Lepisosteus oculatus: one gene and its partners. The protein of the gene in region 2 interacts with the protein of the main gene of each other region in a biochemical or structural test. Links are inferred from orthologs where the notes say so. Each region holds a gene or a part of one and is shown on either strand. Other genes may lie near its edges. The genes, in order: prkn, ube2e1, rnf167 and rnf4.

Region 1 (7,052 bases), on a different chromosome or scaffold from region 2:
CTGGGTCAGACTCTGGTTCACCTAACTCCTTTAAGGATAAAGGAGTTACTGAATATGAATCGGTGGTTGATTGACTAATAAGGGAAATCAATATGTTACCGGAGTGCCTTTTTGTAACAAGCAACATCCCCCGGGGTCTTTAAAAACCACGACACTAATATGTGGTAAAGAGCAGAATTGCCTCTTCAATATGTCCACCTAAGTTCAGACACTGGTAACATGCAGCCCTTTCCCAGTTCCCTATCCTCCTTCTCAATTGCCACACTTATGTTAGTACCTTGGCTCATTCTTCCAAGTGGTACAGTGGTACTGTAGATAGCCATAGCCTGTCAAAGCCACAACAATATCGACAATTGTTCTCTCAGATGAACATGCCTGCACGCACATTGATGGAACAATTTAACCAAACTGTAACTCTGGAGCTCTGGTTAGGTTTTTATTATTACTTGCTTGTCTGACAATACGTGGCTGGGGTTACACACTGATAATGAGCTCCTAGTTATACTGCCCACTATTCACACAGCTCCAATCAGTAGAGCTTTAGATCACTGAAAGCTATAAATAAACATGGAAACATTCAGCTAATGTGAGCCACACTCTCACAAAACTACAAGTTTTCAATGCAAGGGGATAAACTTGTCGTTTTATTAGAGACTAGGATTATACATACAGTATATAAATACTGCAGTATGGCTCAATCTCAGAGTTTAAGGAACATCTTTGGGAAAATCTTACTTTTAGATGTTGTATAAAAAAGGTAATGTACTGAATTACACTCCAAGCTTCAGGGCAAGTGATTTGCAATTAACTAATTAAAAATCTAGATTTGTTTTTTACTTTTCTGAAACTATGGTGGTAAAGGTTTTATACAGTACTTGACGTCAGAAATTTTAGGAATTCTTCTATTAGGATTTTTAGAAACTCTAAAAAACATTTTGTCTGATTTTATACTGTAAGTCACAATAAAATGTACAGAAAATACAGTCTCACATCTCACATCACATAGAATATTCTTAGTTCAGACAACTGCTACTAATTATATTATTACTATTGGCCTAATGTACCTAAAATAAATGTGATAGGTCTTCCAGAGATTCTAGAGATGCAAAATACAGAATGTTGATGAAATTCCAGGTTTCCAGCTGTACTGGAAGCATATCTTAAACATAAAGAGCTATATTTAACTAAAGATTTGACATGAGATTAAGCCAAACAGACAAAGATATAAACAGCACAGAAAATTCCACTTGGCTAAACAGTTTGTCTGCCCTAACACTAGTGCTTCAATATCATCCTAAAAAAAACTAAAATCCATCAAATATTGTATTTCCCCTTTAGCCATTTAAAAAAGGAGTATCCTGTCTGAAATGCTGAACAAGCTCTTTTTCCAATCCCATGAAAAATTGTTTTTTTTTTTATTATTGTTCTGTTTAGAATAAAGTTTCTATTAAAGTTACTGGTTCTGGAAACAACACAAGATATGAAGTGTTTTGACTTCACATAAAGACCTGCTACAGTTCTGCTAACGAATTTCACGGTTCAAGGAGATTGAATCAAGTTAACCTTGAGATTTTGATATAGAAAAAGAAATGGGTACATTCGACAGGAAAATGGTACAGCTGTGTCTCTTTGGCTTAATTCAGAACTCTGGGTCAACACTTTTTACAGGCCTTGCCTGGCCAGAAGCTTGCTTTCAAGATTTTGAATATGTTGTTTATGAGCTCAGGGTGGCCCAGTGCCGCAGTGGTTAGTATTGCTGCCTTGCAGTGCTGGGTTTTGGGGTTGAATTCCAAACTTTCTGTGCAGGGATCGTATGTTCTCTCTGCGTTCGTGTGGGTTTCCTCCAGTTTGCACCGGTTTCCTCCCACAGTCCAAAAATACATGTGTATATTTTGAGAATATTAGCCCTGGTGTGACTGCGTGCGTGCCTGTGTGTCTGCCCTGCAATGGACTGGCGTCCCGTCCAGAGTGTACCCTGCCTTGCGCCCCTTGCTTGTCTAGTTAGGCTCCAGCTACCCTGAACTGGAAGAAGCAGCTCGAAAACAGATGGTGGGATATATTACCTCGATCGGTGTTCTCCTCAACACCTTTCAGTGTCAGAACTGCCACCTTGTTTAAAAAGCAAGGGCTCATCCACAATGTCAGACTCTTGGCTCCATGCTGCAGTAACCCCAATGCCAGCTACAGCCTTCATAATGAAATTAACACTGTTCCTACAAGGGAAACACTCTGCAGATGCTTATAAGTATTTTAATAATGTTCAAATTGCAATTTGATGACTAATCATATCACTGCCTCAGATTTTAAGAATTCTCACAGTCTCTCTAAAACTGGGATTAAGAGGCACTACATAAATATTGTGCACTGAATCTTTTTCATTGCGTCTTTTGTACAGAATGACAAGAATGTATGGGGAATTTAAAGCTATATACTTTCCCCTACGTACCTAGTTATGTGCAATAGCAATAGCACGTAATTAAAAACGCTCATTATCCTATCGATTCACAACACCTGCTAATAATGAGAAGTGCACAGAAAAAAAGAGCCACCGAGAGATCACGTGATACCCTCAACTAACCTCTGTCAAAAGCTGCGTGAAATGTCTCAGGATTTAATAGGTATCTCGTGGCTTATTTGTAGATAAGCAACCAATTTAAACAAAAAAGTAATAAACAACGGAGTGGGAAATGAAAAGCAGCATTAATTATGCAATGGTGTCATGCACTATACATTTTCTTCAGAATAATAGTATAGTTTTAAGATTAGAATGCGGAGTTGAGGGGACTATTCCCCGTTTAAGCGTCTGATTTCTATAGCTGGGATCATGAACTGCAAGCCACTATTTACCATCTCCCGTCGTCAAGCTGAATTACAGGTTAGATGCACTTTTTCTTATTTCGAAAGAAAAAGAGAAATCAAGAGAGACACGTCACACAGTATCACCAGAGTCACATACCTATCATGCTGAAGAGACGCAGTCTCTGACAATGTGACACTGACAGTCTACGCACACGTCTCTGTTTGTATTTAAGGCTATGGCCTACGACATCCCAGGTCACACTGCATCAGCGCACGTGTAATGGTCCCTGAAGCATGTTGGGAAATGTAGTGCCCTTTTTTTCCGTTTCTGTTTCAACGTTTTCGTGCAACGATTTACAAGATACAAACGTAATTTATTATTGCTGTCATGATTTCTGCTACTACTATTTGAAAGCAACTACTGAGTTTTATGTATTTTATAGCATGCTTCTTCTGGTTGTGACCGAGTGCTTATTTAATTGGGTAGGTCAGTCTCTGCACAAAACGAAGAATTCAGGTCATTAAACAAGAGTTGACGGTTTGGTCGTCTTATTTCACGAATTTATTTTTTTACTGCTAACCTTAGAACTAAAACTTAGAAAGGACCCTGAAAACGGTGCGAGCGAGTGCATCGCTGCCAGTCCAGTTCTAACTGTACGTAACCAGAGATCTCTTTGTTATAATTAAAAATGTATGGTGCCGTTTTTTATAGCCTGGAACTTTTTTTCGTTTTTCTAAGTAAAATTTGTGTATTTGGTAATCACATGTAAAATCTCGCCTTATAACAGAGAAGGGACTTTTTCATTTGGTTGTGCTTTTTCGGGATAAGTTGCTTTTGCTTCGGCAGTTTGGCGAGTGAGTACAGTTTCCCTGTAATCATTCATACATTATTGTAATGATTGAAAATGATTGCATGTGCTTAACAGATTCCTGCTATCGTAGCAGACGTTTTGCTGTCGAGCTAGTCGAAGATCAATTCTAGCGGTAATTTAAGGAAGGGCGCCGGTGGTATTTTATAATGCGTCTTGTGTTCTGTTTAACTTTAGTATTTCCAGGTATGTCTGTAAAACTCAGTATATGAGAACAATTGACCAAATTACACGACACCCGATTTGGTGCAAATTAGAACAGTTTGCTAACTCTCCAGGTGTTATGGAGGACTTCAAAATGACAAACTGCAATATACAGGTATTGGACAGAAACAATGGAAATACCCAGCAAAGGGGGAACACTATGGATATTGAAAGCAAGGTCTCCCACTCAGTTCTGGTCATGCTTTAATTAAGCAGCTAGCATCCCAGCACGCTTAGAGGCATGCATAAAAACAGGAGGGCCTGGTTTCTGGAATTCTGGCTGTGAGAGCACAGTGACTTTGAAAGAGGTGTGTTTGTTGAGGTGAGTACAGCAGGAGCTTCGGTGACCAAGACGGCTCAACTGGTTGAGATTTCGCAACAGTAAGTGGAAGCACAAACTATAATCATGATATCCATGCTTAAATTCAGAGTGCAGGGCAAACGAAGCCAAGCAATTACGCAGCAGGTGATCTGACTGCAAATGCCAACCTGGGGTGCAAGCATCCAGTTTAATCAAAGGTGGTCTGTAAGAGCTCCTCAAAGTGGTACACTGTACAGAGGTGGATTGCAGTGCAGGAACCACTCCTCACTCCTGGCACGTCCAGTGGTACAAAGAGCACAGGCAATGGACTGCTGAGCAGTGGAGAGATGTGATATGGTTAGAGGAATTATCCTTCATGTTCTCGACAACCTCAAGCACTCAAGGATTGTAGAGCTTTTTGTTCCAACAGTAAAGGATTCTGGTGGTTCTATAATATTGTGGGGCTATAATAATATTCCTGTGATGGTCTGGGTGTATTTGTTCCTTTCGAAGGCAAGGTAGATGTTATTGGCTACTTAATAGTGATCGTCTTCACCCCATGTAGCATTTTTTTTTCATGGGGGGCATCTACCTGATGGCAATGTCCACATCTACTGAGCATGTGTGGTCTCCCAATAGTTTAATCAGCTGTACACTGATGTGTGTTACAGTATGAAGTATGTCATGGCCTTCTCACTCACCAGAAATACTGTAAACACAAATGAGCATTTATGAGATATTTTGGATTTTTCCAGAGCATTTTTTCACTTCCATCAGCCAGGCTTTCTCATGGAAGAATGGTGCTCCATGCCTGCTGCAGAACTCCAGATGGTGTACACTCTATGTGATGATGCATACAGGCCATACTGGTTTCATGTGGTGATCCAGCACCTTATTATGTGAACTATACATTGATTGACACTACCTGTGTGTTTTGGCTCTCAGTTCCTGCTTACAGTGTATTTGGAAATTCTAGCAGCTTCGTGCCGTTTTACTGTACATCAAAATGCTCAAGATTCCAACTCTGATAAACCCTATATGTCTTTACTATACTTTAGTATAGTAATCCTATACTAAACCCTATATGTCTGTATGTTCGCAGTTGTAAATAAGTTGCTTCAAAATACAGTATTTAGCCCTACATACTGTACACTAGCAAGGAAGTAAGGGTATGAAAAATAGTTCTATTTTTTCATTTATAATGTTTTATTGTTTAATTTTAGATTCATACAAATTCAAACATAAAATTCATATGCAGTAGCATTATTTCTAGATGCACATCATAGAAGCCCTGCCTCATTTAGATTTTCTGTTTCTGTCTTGTGGAAGCTTAATGCGTTAAGCATTGACGGTTGGCAAGTAAATACTTTTAGAATGCAGTTTTTCATACCCTACAAATGTGTGCTTTCCATCAGTACTGGATATCCAGTGAGTCCTAAACCAGTTTTGAGATAACAGTCCAGTCATGTGCTCATGGTCTTTGTGTGTTCAACAGTGATTTTCTTTTTTTTAAGCAAAAGGAATCTTGGCAAAAATAAAATGAGGACCTGCTGCCACCCTGGGTGTGTAATGATTTTAGGATAAATGCAAAAAGTCTTGGGTATAAAGAGTTAATTTACATAATTATGTTGTTTTTTCTATTAGTCTTTCTAGAGAGATTTATGTGCAGCTTTTTAAACATGTAGACTATTTAAAGCATTGGGGCTGGTAGATGCTGTAAACTTCATTAATATTCAAATTGAAAATGCATCAATGTAATGTTTTCTGCATCTCTTCAAATGTGATGTGGCATATTACAACCAAAGTTACAGGGTTAGATGATTGACTAAACATGATTCAATTTACATATTAATGAGTAAAATGACAGATTATAATATTTACCCCCCTCTCTCCCAGGGGTCAACACTGTACTTAGTTCCAAGCTTTCAGGTTCCAATAATTCTACAATAAAAGAACATTCTAAGTTTTTTTTTTTAACCTTGTTCGGAAAAGGTTAAGGAAGGTAACATTCTGTTCTGGATTTCCAAATGTTTTTTGAGCTGTTTGCAGGGTCTGTTTCAATCATGCTCAAATAAAGTTGTGAAAACTGAAAATCATTTTTTGTTTTTTGAGCCAAGAGATTAGACAAAGCATAGACTTTTTAAAGAATAGGGTTCAGTGACATGAACAACATGCTTAGTCTACTAGGAAGTGTAAAGGTTGTTTTCTCTATGGAAGCTCATCCTTGTTTAAAACATTACAAGTGAGGATGATACTTTCATGTAACTGCTTCATGCCACCCTCTGCTACTTTTTTGCCCAATATTAGATAAGCATATTTGCACATTATTCAAAAGCTCAGAGTATGTAATGGACAGTATAAAGCATTCCCTAAGATGCAGATATCTTTGATCTTTCTGTAGTGATAGAGTTTCAGTGTTCTTTTAGTGCTGAATTTAAAGTGAACAGCACTGAAAAAATATAAGTGCAGTACATTAGGCATTATTTATGCAGCAGTATTTTTCAGCAAATATGGACACTTGAACCTGTAAATTGCTCCCAGGCGAACATTAAAATTTCGTAAGTTTAAAGGACTTCTTTGAGCAGCTCTGCCAACTGTTCATCTCCATTCCACTCTGGACATGTGTTGGCAAATATGACTCACTGGGGAGCTCTGGCTAATGAAATTCTATCTTACATTATTGGAGAGTTCTCAACATAAATAATAATTGCAATCTAGTTATGTTTAGTGACAATTTCCAACCTTGTGCCATAACTAATCTCAATTGTTTTATGTTCAATCGACAGTGATATGGATTCAGTACAGGTAGTTCTGCTGTTTTTGTTTTTGATTCAACACACCTTTAAGGCTACTGTATGTACTACTTCATAATTAAGGGC
Region 2 (7,369 bases):
CCTGGTGAAGCAGAACTGGTGAACAGCTCAGATGGTCCAAATGGCTTCCTTTCATTTGTGAATCTCCTGCTCTTAAGAAATTTCTGTCTTCCACACCTGATCTGCAATGTATTGGAGCTGGTGATGCAAAAAAAGCTACACCTCTATCTCGGTTATGAGTAGAGGATGAAGTGGGACCCTGGTTATAAAGGAAAGTGCTCTGGGATCCTTTAAGCTGAAAAGTAATATATAAATGCAACTCATTATTGTTACCAACTGCCTGAATGAAGACAGCTTTTTAAGAATTGTTATAGGTACACAATCAATCACTGACCAATGACAAGCAAGGTTTCCAGCATAAAAACACTCTAAAATCTTACACAGAACTAGCATACTAATAATTAAAAAAACAATTCACTGAATCAATCCCAAAACAAACAGTCCCTATGGGAATAAGGGTGTTGAAAAGGTTTAGTGAAATGTCCTCAAAGTTATTTGGAAAACATACTTTAAATATAATGTATTAGTGGATATATTAAACTGTTAAACAACTGCACAAAATAAAGAGACAATACACATTTGAAAGTGTATTTTGCACAGGTGCATCTTTCTCATTATAAGTTTAAAGAAACAGCTTTACGTGACTGTGTAAGATGAATGCAAACGCCATCAAAAATAAAATCACTGCTATTTCCGTTCATGTAAAGTCTATTTCTCTTTTGCCCCTGCTGAGCCAAAAGAAACCTTTATACTGTGCAATGACACAAGGAGGGGGAAAATCCCGACCCCTTCTCCCATTCCTCTGCATTGCACAGAGGGAATCCGATTTCTTTTTAACAGCTCACCTCTTAGGGAACAAAAAACCGGTGTGGTCCTTTCTAAATTATTTAGATGACTACGAGGATCTCGCACAGTATCTCTGATTATGCCTTAACGGTCTCTTGCCAGAACACAAAAAGGATGCAGCACAATACTGAATAATCTCCCGAGTCGTACCAGGCGATTGCTGTCGGCCGACACAAATTCACAGCCAAGCTCTGCGCCTTTAAGGAAGCACTCTTGATAGGGAAATCCTAACCGTAATAATAAAATAACCAAACCCGGGTACCTGCAGTTCGGAGGAGGGTCCAGAGTGATATCTGCCAGCTCCTTCTGGATTCTGAAGGAAACAGAAACCACTCGTTAGTCTCGATCAGTCGGTACCGAAGGAATCAGTGATTTACATCGCACGCAGGCACAGCTGCTGACCTCTGCCTGCGAAACAAACATGGCCGCTCCCAGCAGCTCCTACTCACCAATATTTTAAAGATGAAATAACCCACTTCTGGACTGATTTCGCGGGTGGCCCTCACCTGGAGCCAAAATACCTTCGCCTTACAAGCAGCTACCGAAGGAATTTCGCCAATCCCCCCCTCCTAATTTTCGCAATAAACTGCTTAAGCTAATATGCAAATGAGCTGGTTCCCCATTGAAACAGAATAGCTGAGCTTGTTGTGAGATCTCTTAAAGGAGACACGCCTGAGGAAGCGTCGGTTGCATGGGAGAAAGTGTTATTTCAGCATGAGCCTGAATTTAAATAATCATATTTAAAAAAATACGAAGTAAAACCCACTCATTCTCAAAGAAGGGGTGGTTTTCTTCGGGCTGGGAAGCTATCAGGACTAAGAACTGGTGGATGAGCTTCCAAATACATCTTAATACGAAGTTGGTTCGTATGACGCTACTGCAGTCCTCCCAAGGAAAAAAAAAATGTGTTTAACCTGAAAACTAGATCGCACACAGCCAAGGGTTGCTAATATCACACTAAGCGTTAACTCTTTCTGTCCCGATACAATGGCTGTCCGACCGGTGATAACTGGCATTGCTCAGCCCTCAACCGATTCCCCCTTTACCTCTTTGCGCTCGTAGAAAGCAGTTTGGAGGTTTTGCTCATACTGGCTTTGCTCTCCTTCTTCTTGCTGGTTGTTTCTTTCTCCTTCTGATGTTGAGCGGAGGACGAGGAAGACGACGACGATGAGCTAGTACTGGCCCTCGAATCCTCATCCGACATACCGGCCGCACGGAACGGAAAAAAAAAACCCAACCTGGAAAGGCGAGCAGAGGGAATCGAGGGTTAGCTTCCGAAATAAATGCATACCAAATAAGACTGGTAGACGACACGCCTGTGGCATGTGGGTTTACCCCCAAGATCAGCCTCTTTGCACCTTCTCACGGTCGCCACTCCTAAAGACTGCGTGTGAAGTTGTGCAGCCAGGGCAAAACACCCCCCTAAACTCCGATTTTCTGAAGTCAAGGGAACTTACTTTCTGTCCGAGACTAATGTGCCAAACAACTGTCCTGAACTCCTCCGTTCCTCCCAACGCCTTGTGCTCCTCTCCCAAACAACACACTTCGCCGGAGTGGGAATGAATATTTACCTGCACCCCAGCAATTCAGAGACAGCCAGCTCACAGCTGGGAACTGGGTACAGCTCCGCACAGCTAATGAAAGATAAATAGATAGATATATATCCGTACTCTCATGTATCTGGCTACCCCAACGTCGCATCCATTCTGGAAATGTTTGACTTGCTTTTCAGTCCCCAAGACCCCATATAGTTGATCAAACTTCACACCCCGAAAAACAACTAACCAAAGCCTAAAATCTCAAACGGGTTTCATCCAACTGATCAATTTAACCTCTGGTCTTCCTTGCGGGGGTATATCAGCAGTGTCTCCTTTTTTTTTTCTCTCTCCTCTCAACATTGCAACCGATCTGTCTATTCAGCTCCACTCGTCGCTCGGATCCTTTTCTTCATTCTGCTTTTTCCGACAGGTTAATATCCTCGTTAACCTCGCAAAAACTTCTACAGGCGGCCCCCTGTCGATGCCAGAGACCTACCGGGGGCCGTTAAGGAGAGTATTTACTGGCATTAAAGAATATTTTCGTCTTTTAAACGGTACCTCTCTTTGTGTCTGTGACTCCGCTGCCTGGGCTCGTGTCTCTCCCCTCTCGCGGAGCGGAAGTGCTGCTGCAGCAGCAGCTATTAAACAGGCAATGGCTTCTATTCTATCGGACTCGCTCGCAAATGATAATGTCAAGGAAAAACACGGGGTGGGGGAGTCTGGATGTGAACCGAGATCTGAGTATTCACATGGCCACAATTGTTTATTTTTTTTTTCTAAACCCCTTCCTGTACCTAAAGCATACTCGAATACACGTATATCACCATTTCGTGTCAACATTGATATCCACAGTTAATGTACGTGTTACTTTCTTAGAATGTGTGTTTTAAAAAGGGATGGGCAAGAGAATCAGCATTTGTTAAATAATTGATACAAAGCTGCATATCACTCATAGTGTTGTGAATAATTCAAAGCCAAAGAATTTGTATTTCTTCTCATGTAAGCAACCTCAACAAATCATTCTGATGTGCTTGTTGGTCTTGGCAATTCTCCGGACAAAATTAATAGCATGCGCTGTGTAGGGAGGTTTATTTATTTTTTTTACATTTTCAAAGTTTTGTGGCAAAGCAACTCTATGAAAATTATTTTAAGGAAATCCCCCGTTTGGACACTACTACGTTAAACTGAAACGAGATATTTTATGTCATGGAAGAACTAACCAGCGGTGTAATTCTTCCTGCGTAACAGAAAAGCAGAAGACAACATATGACAGTACCACTTTACCACCTCCCTCCCCCCGGTTATTCCTTATAATATTAGTATTACTTTACAGGTTGTGGGACGTGACAGTTTTGACCTCGTCTCCACATACTTGTCTCAGATTAGTTTGCAAGACAACGCTGGGTTATTCCATCCCTTATTACAGGGGTCTCAAACTCAATTCCTGGAGGGACTCGTGTCTTCTGAGTTTTTTTTCACCCACGTTCTCGATGACATTGTTGGTGTGATTTAACTAGGTGCTGAATTCTAATATTTCTAACCAGGCTCTAAGATGATTATTGTTAACTGGACCTTAAATGAAGTGAATGTCTTGTTTATCAACTATAGAAGACCTCAATAACATTTACATAAATGTCTAATTTAGAGAACTGAGTATGAGACCCTGTTTTTAATTCTAACCTCGCTATTCATTGCTGTGATTCCAAAATAAAATACGTTTTTTTTTTACTTTTAAATGTTCTCTTCACAATACAAAAACAAATCTGTCCTGAGTTTAGAACAAGCAAGACCACTTTATTTTGCCATACACTAGTATTGCTATACTGATGTCTTGAATGACAAAACCCTCCCCAATTATGTCAGTTCCTGGAGGGTCTAGTGTCTTCTCATTTTTTTATTCTAATTTGAGCACCGATTACACAACATTTTGTTTTAATTTTACATATTTAGAGTTTAAAAAAATCTTTTACAGTTGATTACTAAAACAGTTGTTTCATTTACATTTCATGTTTTACTTACTGTTACTTAGAAAACACCTCAGAGCCAGGAGCAAAGTATAAAAATTGTGCTGTTAATGAAATAATCTGACCAATTGGTATAAATGAGAGCATGAGTAGAAAAAAAAAACATCAGGCCCTACAGGAAATGAGTCTGAAACCTCTTCACCAAAACATTCAGTCATAAGACCTAGACAAGGGGTGTGGAATTTTATTCCATGGCTGCTCTTAATCATACGTTTTACTGCACCAAATTTAACAATTTTCAAAGATCTTCAACTGTTGATGATGTTGATTTCTAAAGAATGAGAAACCCTGCTGCACCCTGCCCCTTGAGTCCTTGATTTGTCTGCCTATAACCCAGACATTAAGGTGACCAGGCCTTCCAGGTCTTGTTCATTCAAATAGTGTTAAAAAAAGGGCGCTTCTACGACTAGACAAAACACAGTACCCACCTACGCTTCTGGATAGCCTTCTTGACAGAGGGTCATTAAGAAGGAAGCAGAACAGTTTGCAGATCAAACCGTTTTTTAAAAGTTATAGAACTGTCAGTTGTTTTTCTATTCCTATTACTGTATACTAATGTTTGAGGATCCACAGTCCTGCAGAAGTGTTCTAAATACATTAATTATCGGTAAGATGCTTATTCACGGTAATAGTTGTAGCACACCTGAGCCTGTCTGAGAAGCACAGGAACGCAAGACAAGGCTATACTATGGATTTTTAAAGCCTGGCAACACCTTAACAGAAAAAAAATGAGAGAACCAAAAAAAAAAACCCAGGATTTTCTTTTTACCAAACAGGCTATATGCGTCACAATCTGTAATTGGGATTACTAAACTAGTCAAACTCAACAAACTTCTGTATTTTTACAAATATCACGGTGTGCTGAGTAATTGTGGGTGGATCGTTGCCTTATCAGGGCCTGTCTTGTGGAGACGTTCATGTTACATAATACATCTGGTGAGGGAATACAGGAAGAGGGGGGTCGTATCATCCCAGTCTGTCCTGGGCAGGAGTGGGCACCCAGATGGAACAGTAGATTGGGTAATGGACTGGAGCTCTGTAGGAGCAGTGAAAGACGGAGAGTCAACATGTTGACAAATTTCAGCTGTGAGCAAGATGGGCATTCATATCATGGTTTTTAAAATGAAATTCTAAAATGTAAAGATATCACAGAAACAAATAAAACATACTGTACTTTGTAGCTCCCGGAAATAGATTAAAAAAAACCTTTACTGGTTTTAAACACTGTAAGAGGAAGTTGGTTTGAAGTTAAGAAACTGTATTTGTATACTCTTTGCAAATATCTAATTGAAGGGACAGAAATGTGTAAACACATCTAGACAGAAATTAATATGAAGAAACTATTGTAAAATGCTTCAAGATCCCTTGGGATGAAAAGCAGTATATAAATAGAAACAACAATTATTCATTAATCTTGTCTGGTAGAACTCAGTAAAAATCAGGGTTCCTCCAGTCTACAAATTCCCCAGAATCTTTCAGCATCAGTTGAATCTGAGAAATCATATACTGTACTTGAGAGAGTTTCTGTTTTTTCTTCTGTCAAACTATTAAATGGCCAACAGCCATATCACCCTGCAACTCACAACTGGCCACTGAAGCTAAGCAGGTGTGAGCCTGGTCAGTACCTGGCTGGGAGACCTCCTGGGAAAAACTAAGGTTGCTGCTGGAAGAGGTGTCAGTGGGGCCAGCAGGGGGTGCTCGCCCTATGGTCCATGTGGGTCCTAATGCCCCAGTATAGTGACGGGGACACTATACTGTAAACAGGCGCCGTCCTCCGGATGAGACTTAAAACCGAGGTCCTGACTCTCTGTGGTCATTAAAACTCCCGGGGTGTTTCTCGAAAAGAGTAGGGGTGTAACCCCGGCGTCCTGGCCAAATTTCCCATCGGCCTTTATCAATCATGGCCTCCTAATAATCCCCCTCTATGAATTGGCTTCATTACTTTGTTCTCGAACCCCCCCTTTCCATTCCGACGGCAGGTGGAGCGACGCGCCGGTTGGAATATTTCTTGGTCGCAGTTAATGGCAACGTCTGCTCAAAGATTTGGTTCAAACCACCAAACGGAGACTGCTGTGCCAACAAGCGGACCCTTCTGATGCGGGATTAACACTAGGAAAGAGAGAAACTATTAAAGCACTGGACTGGCAAATCCAGGTTGTAGGTCATTGTTGGATACTGTACCAAAGAGTTTTTTTCTTCCCTAAAGGAGTCCAGCCTATCTGGAAAAAGAGCTAAGAGCTGAGCTTTCAGTTGTTAAAGCATGCATACTTCAGCTATGACATTTTACACAGTGCACGAGAAATAAAAGTAGGAATTAATCCTTGAAACCCTTTGAGTGTTCAAAACCTATTCACGGGAATATCTATTGAAGCAGAGTGCCTTCAAATAGGTCACAACAACACTGTCAAAACTGTTATTTTTGTTTTTCAGTCGTGTGTTTTGGAGCTGTGATCAAGAGATTAATTTGAATGATAAGTACAATATATTGTAAGTTTTATTTTGAAGTAGGCCTCATTCCAAGCATACATTCGAACATATTAAAACAAAACAATACCTTGGTTTACTGCAGTGATTTTAACTGAAGGTGCTGCAACACATTCACAAGTCATACAAATACAAGTCAGTATTTTGTTGCATATTTCTTTGAGACAATAACAGCCTTCTGAGGTCAACAAACCCTATGTGTAATTATTTTGAGATCATTTGCTCCTCTTAATTGGAGTTATCTTTTCTTGGGGTGTTTTGACTTTTTTATTTAGCATGTAATCTAGACTGCTGCTTGTATCTGCCAAACCCTGACAAAATAAAAAACAAAACAAAATGTAATGCTATTTTTGCAATGCAATGTAAATCTGAGTGAAACAAAAGTTTTTAGATTCTTATACATAGAAGTGTTTAAAAATGGTCCAAAATTCCTGGCTGGGCTTGTTAAATAATGTTGTGATGAAGCATTTATGTAAAGCTTTTAGGAAAAAGTAACAG
Region 3 (6,884 bases), on a different chromosome or scaffold from region 2:
GCAGAGTCAGAGCGTAACATGTCTGGCTGCAGCTGGCCTCGAGCCCAGAGTGCACTGAGCCCTTCCTCTTTCACAAGGTCACTTACTGGAAGCGAAAGAGTCCCAGGAATTTCACTTTGACACTTCACATGACGTTACGTACTTCATGGTGACTTTCAAAACACAGAAGCTCGCCGAGACGGAAGGAAAGGCCCACAGCAGCAGGGCCTGGGCCTGGCGCCTCGCCCTCTCCGTGCCCCGTCCCTTCGACTCTAGGGCTCCCTCGGGGGAGTCGGGGTCCCCAGAGCTCCTTCCCCATCAGTTCTGCACCGGCTCGGACTTTGACTGGGACGCCACCGCAGCTGCCCTGATCACACCATCAGAGCTGCGCCCACTGCACGCTGTCTGAACGCCCAGTTCCTTCCCCAGTCGGACATGCGTCCTGGATCTGCCGTCATCCTTCTGGATGTTGACAAACCACCTTGCCAGTGAGGATCCGAGGAGCTTCGGAGGCATCAGGGCAGATTCCCAAGAGTGCCCAGAAGGGCGTGTAGTGCCGGCACACGGGAGCAGACCCATTCCAAGTGACAGCAGACCTCATTAATCAGAAGACACAGAATTCCAGCTTCCTGGACCTGCGGCGGATCCCAGTCCTGGTTCTGGAGGTCCACACACTGGGTCTAATCACAGCTGAGCTCTCCGTGACACAATCGACCCCTTGACTGAATAAATAAAAGTACTGATTCGAACTGTTCCTCCGTTTTCAGCTCTAAAATATATTGGAAGTCACCTATTCACCCATGAATTCTGTGAGCAACCCTTCAAAAAACTTGCAAGTGTTCCCATCTACCAACTTGTCAGCACAATTAAGGTTACAATTTAGCTGGAATGAAAACCAGCAGGTGTGTGTGGGGTCCTACAGGACCATGACTGGGAGCCCATGTGTAAAAGCTGGGGTGCCGTGGGTTCACTCAGCTCTCGAGTCAATGGGTGGCTTGATGGGACAGAGGTTTCCGGTCTCTAACACACTTTCACACTGTGAAAGTACTCTGTTAATACATGTCCTGAGGCAACTGCTGTATAAATACCTTTCAGACAAATCTGGCACCTAATTCTCCTGCCGGTGTCTCTTTACCACAGGAGGAAGATCAGGGTGCAGCCCTGCTAGACCTGTTTCCCCCCCCAACACGAAAACACACGGAAGGCCGCAGGCGAGAAGAGGCCACTTTGGCTCTGCCAGGAACCTGCTTGAACAGCCCAGCCTGTTCCAGACACCCACCACACTTGGTGTAAAGAAGCACCTCCCATTCGCCATCTGCAGAGCACTGCTGCCTGTGCTGTTACAGAAAGGAGACTGGCCAAGGGATGGCCTGCCCCATGATCAGGGCTACTGATCCCACCTGTCCACCGTGCGTCCAGGGACACTGCAGTTAACCCTTCTCCACTCAGAATCAAAGCCGAATCCCAGAATTCACTGTTAAAGTTTACTCCAGAGTTAGTGATCGCTCACAAACTCTTCACACGCAGCGTTTCTCTCAGTTCATTCACTCCTGTCTAGTGCACACCACATCCAAGCATCTTTATGATCACAACACTGACATTTTATGATCACAACACTGACAACCTGATGCATCTTTGAACACAGGGCCAACACAACACATTTTGGATGTTGTTAGCTTTATCTGACTTATACCATGATAATTATACTAACAGTAAAGACCTCACAGTGACCTGTACTATAATTATAATACTATCAGCAAAGACCCCACAGTGCCCCGGGCTGTGATATTACTAACAGTAAAGACCCCACAGTGACCCGTAATGTAATAATGTCACCTACAATAAGGACCCCACAGTGACCTGGACTGTAATAATGTCACCTACAATAAGGACCCCACAGTGACCTGGACTGTAATAATGTCACCTACAATAAGGACCCCACAGTGACCTGGACTGTAATAATGTCACCAACAATAAGGACCCCACAGTGACCTGGACTGTAATAATGTCACTAACAGCAAAGACCCTACAGTGACAGAAGCCAGACTTCCAGTGATCACCGCGGACCCGGGTGGCTGTTCAGAAAACCAAACGATCAGGACTAACCGAACGGCGCTGCTCTCGTCGGACACTTTATGTTCTTCTAGAATGTGCCCTGTGTCACAGTTAGAAAAACAAACACAAGAACAGTCACCCCCTTATCAACTTCTCGCAACCGAGCTGCTAGGACAAAATGTGAACAATAAGTCACATTTTACACAAATAGCTGGCTTTACCTTATCAGCTAACATGCATTCGCACGGCTCCTACATCAAACCGCGGTGTAAACAAAGTCTCTAATCTTGTCCAGAACCGGAAAACCCACTTTTAAAAAGCCCCTAGCCTGTTTACTTTTTGATAACCCTTTTGCTCAACACGGCCAGTCGATTGCGCAGTGGTATGCATCACACATAGGCAGGCTACCCAGAGCGTTCAAAATAATGTTAAAAATTAATATTAAGTCAATGATCTAGCTACCTAAGTTAAGAGTGTTACTTTTTTCGTTTTGCAGGGACTAAAATAAAGTACCGCACCTTCAAGACTGAAGAGTTGTTGTTTTTTTGTGTGCAACCAGAATTAAAACATTCGACAGAGCAGTCCGTGCACATCGCCACAATAATAATTGTGCTGACCATAAAAATACATTTCTTCCGGTTTCGGATCTTACCTTTCAACTACAGTCGTCGAGTCGTTTGAAGTCGACAAATCTGTTTCGGTCTCGCTTTTCCCGTATTATTTTGAAGGTTTTTGCGGGGAAAAAACTTCCAGTTGTCTGCCGTGCGTGCTTGTTTCGGAAAATAGCCTTTCCTGTGTGAAAGTACGATGTGTGTTTACGTAAGATTTCACATCCCCCCCATCTCTGTTTCGCTCGTTAGCTAGCTAGCAGGGCCGTAGCTACAGGCGACGGATCTCTGTGTCTGGATTTCCTGGCCTAATCCAAGATGGAGGCGCCCACATCCCGGGCCTCGCGTTATCTGGACGCCCGTTAACCCTTTCGGGGGAAGCCGGTGAGAATGGAGATCACTTCCGCCCCCTCACCCCGCGTGGACCCGTAGACAGATCGGTCGGCAATCACCCCCCCTCGCGCTCTCTCGCGCTGATCCAGCAGACAGAGGCTGACATTGCTCCCCGTTTCATTTCTGATCTTGAGTGGCCGTGGGTGGGGAGTTTGCATGGTCTCCCCGTGTGGACTCCGCTCCACTGCCTTAAAAACACGCAAGTTCAGCTACCAGTGTCTGTCCTAAATTCCCCCTTTCCGTGTCTCTGTGTTGGACTCATACCCTCCAGAAAGACAGAGCAGCTATATTAAAACAGATTTAGCCTCACCGTCAAAATGGGCGAAAGTATATTATGGTACTGGGTTTCTGTTTTTCATACGGCTTTGTTTATTTACTAACGAGCGGGTGGTTGTAAATCGCCTTGGTTACAGGCATTTGCCCAATATATCATCGATCAGTAGATCGCATCTGCCATCGCCTGGCTGTCGCTAACCGTGATATTCGGCGACCTACTAAGTGCGATCAATATGGTGCGTCAGACCTGGCTCATTTGTCTAAGTTACTTGCGTGCTCAGCCTCCGCGGGGGCTGCGTGTCTCAGTGAAATAATAAGCTGTTATTTCGGAGCGCCCGCCTGCCCCTCTGGCTCTGTGGACAGCTCTTCCTGCGGGGATCCCCAGACGCGTGCTGTCCACTACAGCTGTGCTGCTCTCGCACACACGGGGGCCAGATATCAGGACCAGGCGGAGGAGGGGGGGTCTTTTCACGAGCCTACGGCTCTCCTCCCTGAAGTACTGATTTATCCATACCCTGCGGAAGGCGTACAGAGACATGGCAGTAGTGATGTACGAGTGTGAAACAATCCAGGCTGGTCGAGGTGTTTTGCTCCATTACGGTATTGTTATCGATCTGAAGAGATCGGTTTTCCGCGACCTCTAGTGGCGAGATTCTCGCATTACAAGCACCGGACAACGCTGCAGAAGAGCCTTGAAGCCCTGACCTGTACAAAACGAAATAGCCTTTCCTGGCATGATGTGTTTATTCACGGACTCGCCAGATCTCCAAACAAGACCAAAAGGAAAGAGGAACATCTCGGAGCGGTCCTTGAACAGATACCCCCACCCCGGCAAGCGGGCAGAGAGAGTCCGTTCGCCTTTCCGCATCTAACATTGTGGCGCAACGTGCTGGGTTATTTTACTGTGCTTGGAAAAACTCCTCATATCGGGGCTCTTTTTAATAGAACTAGTACTACTAATAGAGCTACAGGCGAGACAGTTCTGTCAAACGAGAGACTTTTGCTCTGTTTGTAGTTATTGCTCTGTTGATAGTCCGTACATACTATAACTATTCTGTACCGTTTTGTAATGTACTGTCCACGCACACGGCTGTACTACAGTTGTCTGTCGTACTGTGCCATCTGCTGGACCGAGCATGTGCCGAGAGATCGGCGCGAATAAGAATTCTAATGTATATGTACATACGACAAATAAAGGCTAATAATAATAACAACAACAACAACAATAATAATAATAATAATAATAATAATAATAATAATAATAATAATAATGTGCGCCACAGTGTTGGATAAATCAGTTGGAAAACGAGCGGATAATAAAAAACGAATTCCTTATTATTTATTAGTATTTTTCATTCTTGTTAATGTTCTCTATGAAAACAAATTGTATTCAATTTGGTAAATAAATTGCCTTTGGTGCTGTGCGTTTAGCGCGTGTCAATCCCTGAAAAACTCGTGAAGGCCACGCGCGGTGACGTCATCGTCAGGTAACAGGGGCGGCCCCGTGATCTCACGCGAGACGTAGCCGGCACCCGCCCAGCGCCTGTTCCCGGAGGCTTTAAAAAGGGCACAGCGCCGCCTCTCGGGCAGACCGCAGACATGGCCAAGAGGCGAAGACGAGCGTCCCGTCCAGTGCGCAGGAGGAGGCGAGTCAGGAGGTCCAGTGTGAAGCGCCAGAGGAGGAGGAGGAGGAGGACCAGGAAGCACCACTGAAACAGTTGGAGCACTTCTGGCAGGAGCTGCCAGCTCAGCTGCACTGCCCCCTGCTGGCCGCTGGACTCGCTGCCCTCAATAAAACTGGGCTAGAGATCTGATTCTTGTTCTAATTATTGCATCTGCTGTCTTGGGGTGAACCAGGTCTTTGCGGTCTGTGTCCTGGGTTAACTGGTTTCAGTCTGACCTTGTGGTCAGCAGTTCTCTCTGTCCTTTCCTGTGTCCACCTGGCCTGCTGCCCATCTGACCTGAGTCAGCCACGCTGGCTGGTGCTCACTCCCTTCCGAGCTCAGTGTTGTGTCTGAGTCGTGCACACATACACACTCACAGCTACATGAGCACATAAACACCCTTGCACAGATGCACACACATAAACACACGTGGACATATATGCACGCGCGCGCATGCATGCATGCATACACACACACAAAAGTTGGAGGAGGGAGATGCGTAAGTATGCATGGGCTGCAAAGGAACAGGCAAACCTGTTATTCCAAGCAAAAGAGACACAACGTGACACAGCTGAAGAAGGCTCCTCGACCCCCTCGTGAGTGCCTCACGTTCACGCTTATTTACTCCAGCTGTATACAAGTACACAGTGGAAGGAAATATCGTTCCTCCTCGTCCAAGGTGAAAATACAGGCAGACAGGACACTGACAAAGACATTGTAGACAGGATAAACATAGTGCAAAGTGCAGATGGTCCAAATTACAAGGTAAATACATCATACATAATGCCTGGTCAGCTCGTTGAGTCATAACAGCATGCAAGAGGTCAGCTTCAATCCCCCACTTCCCTGTGAGATAATTGCACTTAGATCCTCATTAGGGCTGTTTGTCTACAGGTCAGCGTGGGAATGATGACATCACGGGCACAATCAGGTGCTAATTGGGTCCAGGTGGGTCTGACACAGCTGGGCGGGTGAAGCACATTTATAAAGCAGATTGAGAGCAGGTTTTTCAGTTTGTTTGTGTTGTGGTTTGGTTTGTAGGGAAGCTGCTGGCCTCCAGCTTTGTGGTGGGGGTGGATGAACTGTAGGTGGGTATGCTTACGTTCTCCTTGGTTACTTTTGAGCTCTCTGTGTCTAAGTCTGTACAGGTGCTCGTGTGCCAGCGATGCGATGCTCACAGCTCCTCTGCTGGCTGGCTGCCCCTGAGCTTCTGCAGGTGTGCTAGTGGATGGGCTGATCTAGACTGATAGATGCCTTCTTCACCTATGATCCTGGGAGGGCATGGGCTTGAGTGACTCTTCCTTTGAAATGTTTATTTTCATTCATTTTATTGTAAGCCCCTACAACAATGAATGATACCCCATGCCCTGGACTCCTGCAGCCCTCTGTGTAAAAGACAACATTCTTCTTTCCAATGCTAGCATCAGATTCTGTGGCTGAGGAAGCCGTTTGAGGTTAGAAAGGCTTGTTTATATGGGGAAGAGAGATGCTTTACACAGAGAGTGGTGGAGGGTGAGTTCTAAGTGGGACCCTTTAATAAAAGCTCACAGATGGGGGGGATTAATGCTCTTGTCGCTGAGGTCTTTCAGCAGCAGCAGGATGGAAACGTACAAGGTGACCGTGACCACAGGTGACATGGTGCACTCCGGCACCTTCGACCGGGTCTTCATCACGCTGGTTGGGTCCGAGGACAGGAGCGAGCGCACTGTGCTCTCCACTGAGGGCCAGGACCTGTCCTCTGGCATGGTGAGGAGGGGAAATGCCTGTGGAGGTGGTGTTGGAGGGGGACTTCATATAGCACTCTGGCTTGCGGAGATCAAGTCTGGATGAGTGGGCTTAGATCATGATAGTGTGGCTTAAAATACCATTGATGACCAAAATATCCGGTCTCCTCTTGCCTGGGGATAGA
Region 4 (6,847 bases), on a different chromosome or scaffold from region 2:
GGCTGGATTTTAACAGAGTAAGCCAATGTCTGAAAAGGTTCAAGCAGAAGTATCTGTACAAACTGAGGCAGGGTCAGGCATAAGCCAAGCGAGAAACAAAAGGTGAAGAAAACAGCTGGAGGAGATTTACAGCTTGTGTACATGAGAATAACCCTTATAATAATACTGCACACACTGGAACCGGATAAAGGCGTCTGTTATGGAAATATTAATGCCGTTCCATCCTTAGGTATTCCTCTCTCGACACACAAGCTCAACTATAAGCAAGGGTCTGCGAGCCCACAGAGTGCATGAAGACCTCAAAATGCAGCAGGCTCAATCAGTACATGCAGACATCACGCATGTTTTTCTCTGCTCCACTAACTCCACTCTTATAACAATACAGTGCTATGCATTTCTTTAGCAGGTGTTTATTTACAGTATTGAGTACCAATGCCATCTGAAAGAAAAGCTTGGTGAAAAAAGGCAGAGACTGGTCTTACATCTTGTCCATAAATGCGGATTGACCGGACAAATTAACAAGAGCGAAGAGTTGGGCACTAATAATGAATCAATGAGTCGGCTTCAGATACAGATAGCAGATAAATGAAAACACCAAAGTCATCAAGTGAGTGGACAGAGTCTATCAGCCTCTGGAACTCTGCAGGAGAGATGCAGCACCATTCTTCCAGGAGAAAGTAAATCAAATCATGCTTAATTGATGGAGGTGGAAAACACATCAATGAATTAGGCATCCCAAAGCATACTATTTCATTTGGGCAAACTAAGCTACATTTATGGCTTTATTTCTAGGTCTTTTGAAAACCCCATCCTAATATATTGAATATATTGGACAAATTAACTTAGTAAGTATAACGACCGATCATTATTGCAAGCAAAGGGCAAGAAGACAGTTCGGAGTTGAGGTACCAAACCATAACATATCTTCATGGATTTGTGGTTCATGGGGACTTTAAAGAACATAACCCCCAACAACTAGCAAGAATTTATCATTATAATATTACAATCCAGCAATTTGACAAACTAAAACCCCAAAAGGTAAAAGACACCACCTACAGAACTACCAGGCAGTTTCCTCAAATATTTCAGTCGTTCACGGTTTTTACCTCCTATCTTGTGAGACACTGGGGAACACAGTCTGCAGAAGCGGTTAACAGCACAACGTGCTTTACCGAGCTTTAGCAAGTATTTCCTGACTGACTCACCTCATGCAACGATGAGTACAACTAAAGACCAAGATGCCCATAACTGCCTTCCACCAGCACACCCCCTTAACCACCCTTAAACCTGAACGTGTCACAGCTCACAGGTTCCTGAGCAGACACTAGGATGGGAGAATGTTTTTAAAGAAAATCGCGTTGCTGCCGAAGTGGTGGTGATGAACTAGTCCATCATACCAACCTGGAAAAAGCAAAGCAAGGAAGAAACCCTACTACAGTCATGGTGGGTGCTGTGGTTTAAAAAACACCACCTACTGTAAACCAACGGATCCCGATCCTGGAGGTGCGCACGCCTCCTGGTTGTCATTCCAGCGGAGGTTAATCACCTTGCTGACACCTTAACAGGACTAACAAGCCGCTCCACTGGCACAATCTCAGGTTTCTTTTCCTTCTCATAAGTTAGGAATTTTACTTAGGAAATGCAGTAGTTAAAGGGCAGCTGTCAAACTGAAAGCAATGAAACCATTCAAACTACTCCTATTACTATTACTCCCATTGAGAGTTGAATCAGGTGAGCGCCCCCTGCTGGCCCCACTAACACCTCTTCCAGCAGCAACCTCTGCTCTCCTCCTCACTGAGAGCTGATGTGTGGTGAGTGTACTGGTGCACTATGGCATCATCCAGGTGGGGCTGCACATTGGTGGTGGAGGGGATCCCCATGACCTGTAAAGCGCTTTGAGTGGAGTGTCCAGAAAAGCGCTATATAAGTGTAAGGAACTATTATTATTAATTAACCTTAGTTTTTCCCCTGGAGTTCTCTCATCCAGGTACTGGCCAGGCTCACACCTGCTGAGCTTCAGTGGGCTGCCAGCTGGGAGCTGCAGGGTGATATGCTGCTGGCGCTAACAAGAGACGTTCAGCTAACGTGGAAGTTAAGTCGCAATACAAGAGGCATTAACACCTGTGCCAACACCACATTTGAAAACAGACTATGTAATCTGACTAGTCCAAACCGAAAGAATACCGCTTTATTGATATAAAGCTCCTAACTAACGCATATCTCCCTTAAATACAGATCTTGTATCTTTTATTAGACAAAATAGTTAGATTATACACGGGATTCGAAAACAAATATGGCATCTATATGACTAATGCCCACTGAGGCCTTCGATCCGGTTGGCAGCAATTCGCAGAGATTACCAAAGCTCTTCAACTTCTGTTTAACAGCAGCAGCAATCCTCTTTTGTTAAGGACCGATAAAGACACAAATCATAGCTCGAGAAATGATCAAAATGGTCGAGAAAATGAATGGGTGACAACAGCCAAGTGCTTTATACCATCGTGGATTAAATAATTAGATGTTGATGCTTTGTAGAGGAGTTTCTGAAATAGGTGTTGGTACACCAACTCCGCTGTACTGTTACATAACCTCCAACATGAAATGGTGCTCAAAATGCTTTTAACGGCATTATAACAATTATTTTAGCTGTAAATACTATCCATATTACCATATTACCCATATTAGCACTAAAGCCAGGGCTATGGTGTGTGGTAAAATTAACAAAAGCCGATTAAAAAAACTAGCCAAATAACCGAAACCTACCACGAAAATACTCGGACAGCAGCAGTCAGGAAGAAATCAGGGTTATCGACAGCTTTACTGCAACGCTTCTATCTGGCGAAGCGCACCTTAAATATGAAAGAAATGAAACAATAAGAATTACTACGAATGCACTGAGGAAAAATAAACCAAAATCCCCTTCAATTTCTTTTCTCCACTCCGATCATCCAGCTCCTCCTCGAGTCGGAAGTAACCTCGGCAGCAGATCCGTTAACCCAGGCGGCGTTGTGATTGGTCAGACAGAGAGTAACGAGCCAATCGGTAGGCGGGAGCTTTGTTCAAGGGAATATGACGTACATCCGGGCGCACTCTGGTATTTGTAGTTTTCACAACAGGAAATGAGTGACGCGGTGTAGTTCCTTAAGGCTTCTTAATGACGTCCGCTGGAGTAGGTAAATTGGAAAAATAGCAGCGAGGAAAACTTTCACCTGAGTGCGTTTTCGGTTATATGGTTAAAACATCTGTACGGACCGAACACCTGCTTTGAACTCGCAAAAGCTTAGGACACTAACGAGCATGGTACGAGGGAAAGGAAATCAAGGAGGAGTATAACTGGAAAGACTGACTTCGCTTGACTGGGTTACGAGATAATGGTAACGAATAGTAAAAACATCCGTTAGAATGTATAGCCTTTTGTAAAATGACGCAGAAAGGCGTACATAAGCAGCCGCGGCTGTTTTAGATTTTTTTATTATTGTTCGGGTGACGATAGACGTCGCCCCCCTGAAACCCAGATGGTGTAGAACTCTCCCACAGCAGGCAGCTGGGGTTCACCACTGTCATGGGGGGGCGCAGTGTCCCCTTCCAGTAGCCATGGTGGAATCATCGCAGGGCAGAGCTGCACCCAGTTAAGGTAATTGGGGTCTCTGTGCCATGTGTGTCTGCCCTGTGATGGACTGGCACTATGTGCTAGGTGTAGTCCTGTTCCACGTGCTTCCTGAAGGAACTCTGGGATGTCTGGAGTAATAGAGGCAGTGACAATGGGAATAACTCAAGGGGCAGCACAGTGGCGCTGGGGCTCCGTGATCGATTCCTGGAGTGCCATCCGCAAGGCGTTTGCATTGTAACGCTTACGGCCGACAGGTACTGTGTAAGAGCCGGCTTACCAGAGCAGGTGACGTCACCGCCCTTCCCTGTGATAGCAGGACTACAGCTACTGGGCTGGGGAGAGATCTCTCTTTGGCTCACCGGGCTGGGTCCCTGTTGAGTGACGCGGAAGTCCTGGGTTAGAGCCCGCGATGGTGGGGGGCCGACCTAATGCAGCAAGGGCGCCCCCCTGAACCCCTGTAGCGTTACAGCATGTTCTTCTCGTGTTCGTGTGGATTTCCTCTGGAAGCTCTGGTTCCCTCCCCACCGTATGAAGCTGGACTGGTAGGTGAACTGGCTTCTAGAAAAACTGGCCCTGGTGTGAGTGTGTGGGGGCGTTTGCCCTGCGGTGGACTGGCGACCCATTCAGGATGTACCCTGCCTTGTGCCCATTGCTTGCTGGGATAGGCTCCAGCTGCCCCGTGACTCTGGATTGGACAAGGCGGCTAGAAAATGGATGGAATAAATCATACTACAACCGTTCCTGACCTCGCAAACCTACCGGGAGAATAAAATCACCTTCTGGAAGATTAATGCTCCTTTCTCCAAGGTGCAGCTTCTTTGGATCTGAGGAAGCCACTGCCACAGCTGAAGTGTTCACGAGAAGTGTCTGCTTTCAGGGCAGTGGACAGAGGGAAGATTTCTAGTTTTGTTTCCAGTGAAAAGGAATAATGTCTTTGTTCGTGTATGAGGTAGGGTTTTTGTTTTGTTGCTCAGACTGTAGTTGAAATAAAGCCAGGAACCCACCAAGACTGTAACAGAACAGCAGGGTTTGGTGTGGAGTTCATGTGTAAAGATCCTCTCAGCCATGCTACCACAAGCTGAAATCTCCCGATGCAGAAAGATCTTACATGGTGACACGGTGACTCAGGGCATTAAAAAGCACGAGCACAAGCAATTAAATTACAAATGTCCGATTGCTTATTTTAAACCCGCAGATTACACATGCCAGTGGCTGAGAATAAGTAGGAACAGTCCATTGGAAACACCTGCAGAGGCCAGTGCTGCTCCTGCACAGACGAGTGATGGAAAAGCTGTGTGACTGCTGTGCACCCCGGCCCGTTGTGTCATACGCAGCCTGTGTCATACACCTCCCTCTGAGCTCGAGGGTCCCAGGTCCGGTTCTGGGCTGGTTCCATGCGGAGTTCCCCATGTCCTTCAGCACTTTCTCTGGGTGCTCCTTTTCCCCCAGAGTAATTGGCAACTCTGAATAGCCCCCCCATGGGCATGCCCTATAATAGACTGGTGTTCCCTCGAGGGTGTATCCCACGTTACACCCAGTTTCAGCAGGGTTAGACTCCACCTCAAAGCCTAAAGCTGGTACTGGAAATTAACACATGGATGGATTATACGGTGCATTTCTTAGTTTGAATGGGCTATGTAACAAGGTGAATATTGTTTTTGCACCCATTATCCGGTATAAAGCTCTGAATCAGCCTTTAGCTAGGACCCCCTTGTTAGAGGAGGAAGTTGAGATTTAATTAACTCCACACATTCTACACCACACACAAACACGCTACAGCAGGGTTTGTGACTCCTGAACCTGCTGCACAGCTTTCTACTGTCCAGTCCTTATCCTGTTCCATCCCAGAGGGACTTGACTCAGAGTGCGCCAGTCCAATTCTGCAGCTTCATGAGAAAATGTCAACATTTGTTAAGGGTACAGGGCCCATTTCACAGTTTGCTTTGTAACAATATGTTGCTTTGTTATAACAATATATTGCTTTGCTTTGTTTTACACTGTTACCTTTTTATTATTATAGGCCAATGTCTGATGTCTACTGCCTTGCCTGTGTGAGGTTATGGAAACAGCAATTGGAACTAAAGTACAGGATCAGCTATATGGAAATGACATCCTAGGGAATAGTTCACATGGATTAAGAAAAGGTGGATCTTGCTTAACCAACTCGTTAGAGTTCTTTGAAGAAGCGACAATGAACTCTCACAGAGCATACACCATGGGGTATTTCGATTTTCAGAAGGATCCTGATAAGGTTTCTCATAAAATATTTATTGTTGAATTACAGGTAATAGGATTCAGGGAAACATCTGTGATTGGATGGAGAATTTGTTCATATAGAAGAGAGTATAAAGATAAACAGTGAATGCTCAAACTGAGGCGGTGTACCACAGGGACCTGTGCTAGTGTCACTGATCTTCCCCATTTATACCAATGATCCAGATACTGCTGTGTGTAGTGAATTAGTCAGCTTCGCAGAGAGTACCACAAGGGAATGATTAGTAAACACTAATCTGTAAAGACTGGGCAAACACCTGACAGATGATATTTAATGAAGAATTGTGCAGGGTTTTATATGCAAGTAGTCACACCTGAAGAAGGGTCCACGGCTGAAACGTTGTGTTTTCTTATTTCTCTTTTCAGCATAGAATAAACCTATTGTTCCTAGTAAAATCATATACTATTAAAACAAAGCACATACTATTAATAAAAAACTTGAAACACTGAGCTATAAGATGCTACAAAAAAAGATTTAGGTGTTTATGTTGACACATCTTTTACATATAGACCACGTGGTGAAGCAATTTTAAAAAGGCAAACAAAATATAAGGACATATATTAAAAGGGTTGAATTTAAATCAAAGGACATTGTGTTAAGAAAGTTCAAGTAGGTGGAGGCGTTGGCATGTGTAGGCTGCAAAGGAACAAGTAAGAGGTTTATTCCAGCTGAAAAGAGAAGAGAGGAAACACAATGTTTTGGTTTAACCCATGGAGCCTACATACCCGAAGAAGGCTCCCCAGCTGAAACATTGTGTTTCCTTTCTGCTCTTTTCAGCAGGGAATAAACCTTTACTGGTTCCTTATGTGAAAATTGTACATTTCTATCATGTGTAGACTAAAATCACAGACACTATTCTAAATGAGGTCTTACTAGTACAAAGACGTTGCTGCTCTGTAATCCAGAGAAAAGAGGCCAGGTACATTCCAGGGCTTGAGACCTGCACGTTGTTACAAGTATTC

Evidence for each region.
Region 1: the proteins of ube2e1 (region 2) and prkn form a complex in vitro, tested with the Homo sapiens proteins (2 studies listed by BioGRID). The link is inferred for Lepisosteus oculatus from reciprocal best matches to the Homo sapiens genes UBE2E1 and PRKN.
Region 3: the proteins of ube2e1 (region 2) and rnf167 form a complex in vitro, tested with the Homo sapiens proteins (3 studies listed by BioGRID). The link is inferred for Lepisosteus oculatus from reciprocal best matches to the Homo sapiens genes UBE2E1 and RNF167.
Region 4: the proteins of ube2e1 (region 2) and rnf4 form a complex in vitro, tested with the Homo sapiens proteins (2 studies listed by BioGRID, with this or other methods). The link is inferred for Lepisosteus oculatus from reciprocal best matches to the Homo sapiens genes UBE2E1 and RNF4.

The regions. Positions count from the first base shown.
Region 1 is NC_090712.1:15,389,940-15,396,991, forward strand, and holds the start of prkn (E3 ubiquitin-protein ligase parkin), read right to left. Parts: upstream 3,002-7,052; 5' UTR 2,964-3,001; coding exon of another isoform or gene 2,957-2,963; intron 2,932-2,956; exon of another isoform or gene 2,189-2,931; 5' UTR 2,134-2,188; coding exon 2,064-2,133; intron 1-2,063. UniProt on the Homo sapiens protein: Functions within a multiprotein E3 ubiquitin ligase complex, catalyzing the covalent attachment of ubiquitin moieties onto substrate proteins. Substrates include SYT11 and VDAC1.
Region 2 is NC_090705.1:30,783,255-30,790,623, reverse strand, and holds the start of ube2e1 (ubiquitin-conjugating enzyme E2 E1), read right to left. Parts: upstream 3,028-7,369; 5' UTR 2,922-3,027; intron 2,383-2,921; exon of another isoform or gene 2,283-2,382; intron 2,064-2,282; 5' UTR 2,030-2,063; coding exon 1,872-2,029; intron 1,139-1,871; coding exon 1,088-1,138; intron 1-1,087. UniProt on the Homo sapiens protein: Accepts ubiquitin from the E1 complex and catalyzes its covalent attachment to other proteins. Catalyzes the covalent attachment of ISG15 to other proteins. Mediates the selective degradation of short-lived and abnormal proteins.
Region 3 is NC_090698.1:10,554,044-10,560,927, reverse strand, and holds the start of rnf167 (E3 ubiquitin-protein ligase RNF167), read right to left. Parts: upstream 3,022-6,884; 5' UTR 2,687-3,021; intron 2,576-2,686; exon of another isoform or gene 2,553-2,575; intron 1-2,552. Other genes in the region: polyunsaturated fatty acid lipoxygenase ALOX15B-like, read left to right, coding at 6,449-6,721.
Region 4 is NC_090696.1:6,256,940-6,263,786, forward strand, and holds the start of rnf4 (E3 ubiquitin-protein ligase RNF4), read right to left. Parts: upstream 3,001-6,847; 5' UTR 2,764-3,000; intron 1-2,763. UniProt on the Homo sapiens protein: E3 ubiquitin-protein ligase which binds polysumoylated chains covalently attached to proteins and mediates 'Lys-6'-, 'Lys-11'-, 'Lys-48'- and 'Lys-63'-linked polyubiquitination of those substrates and their subsequent targeting to the proteasome for degradation.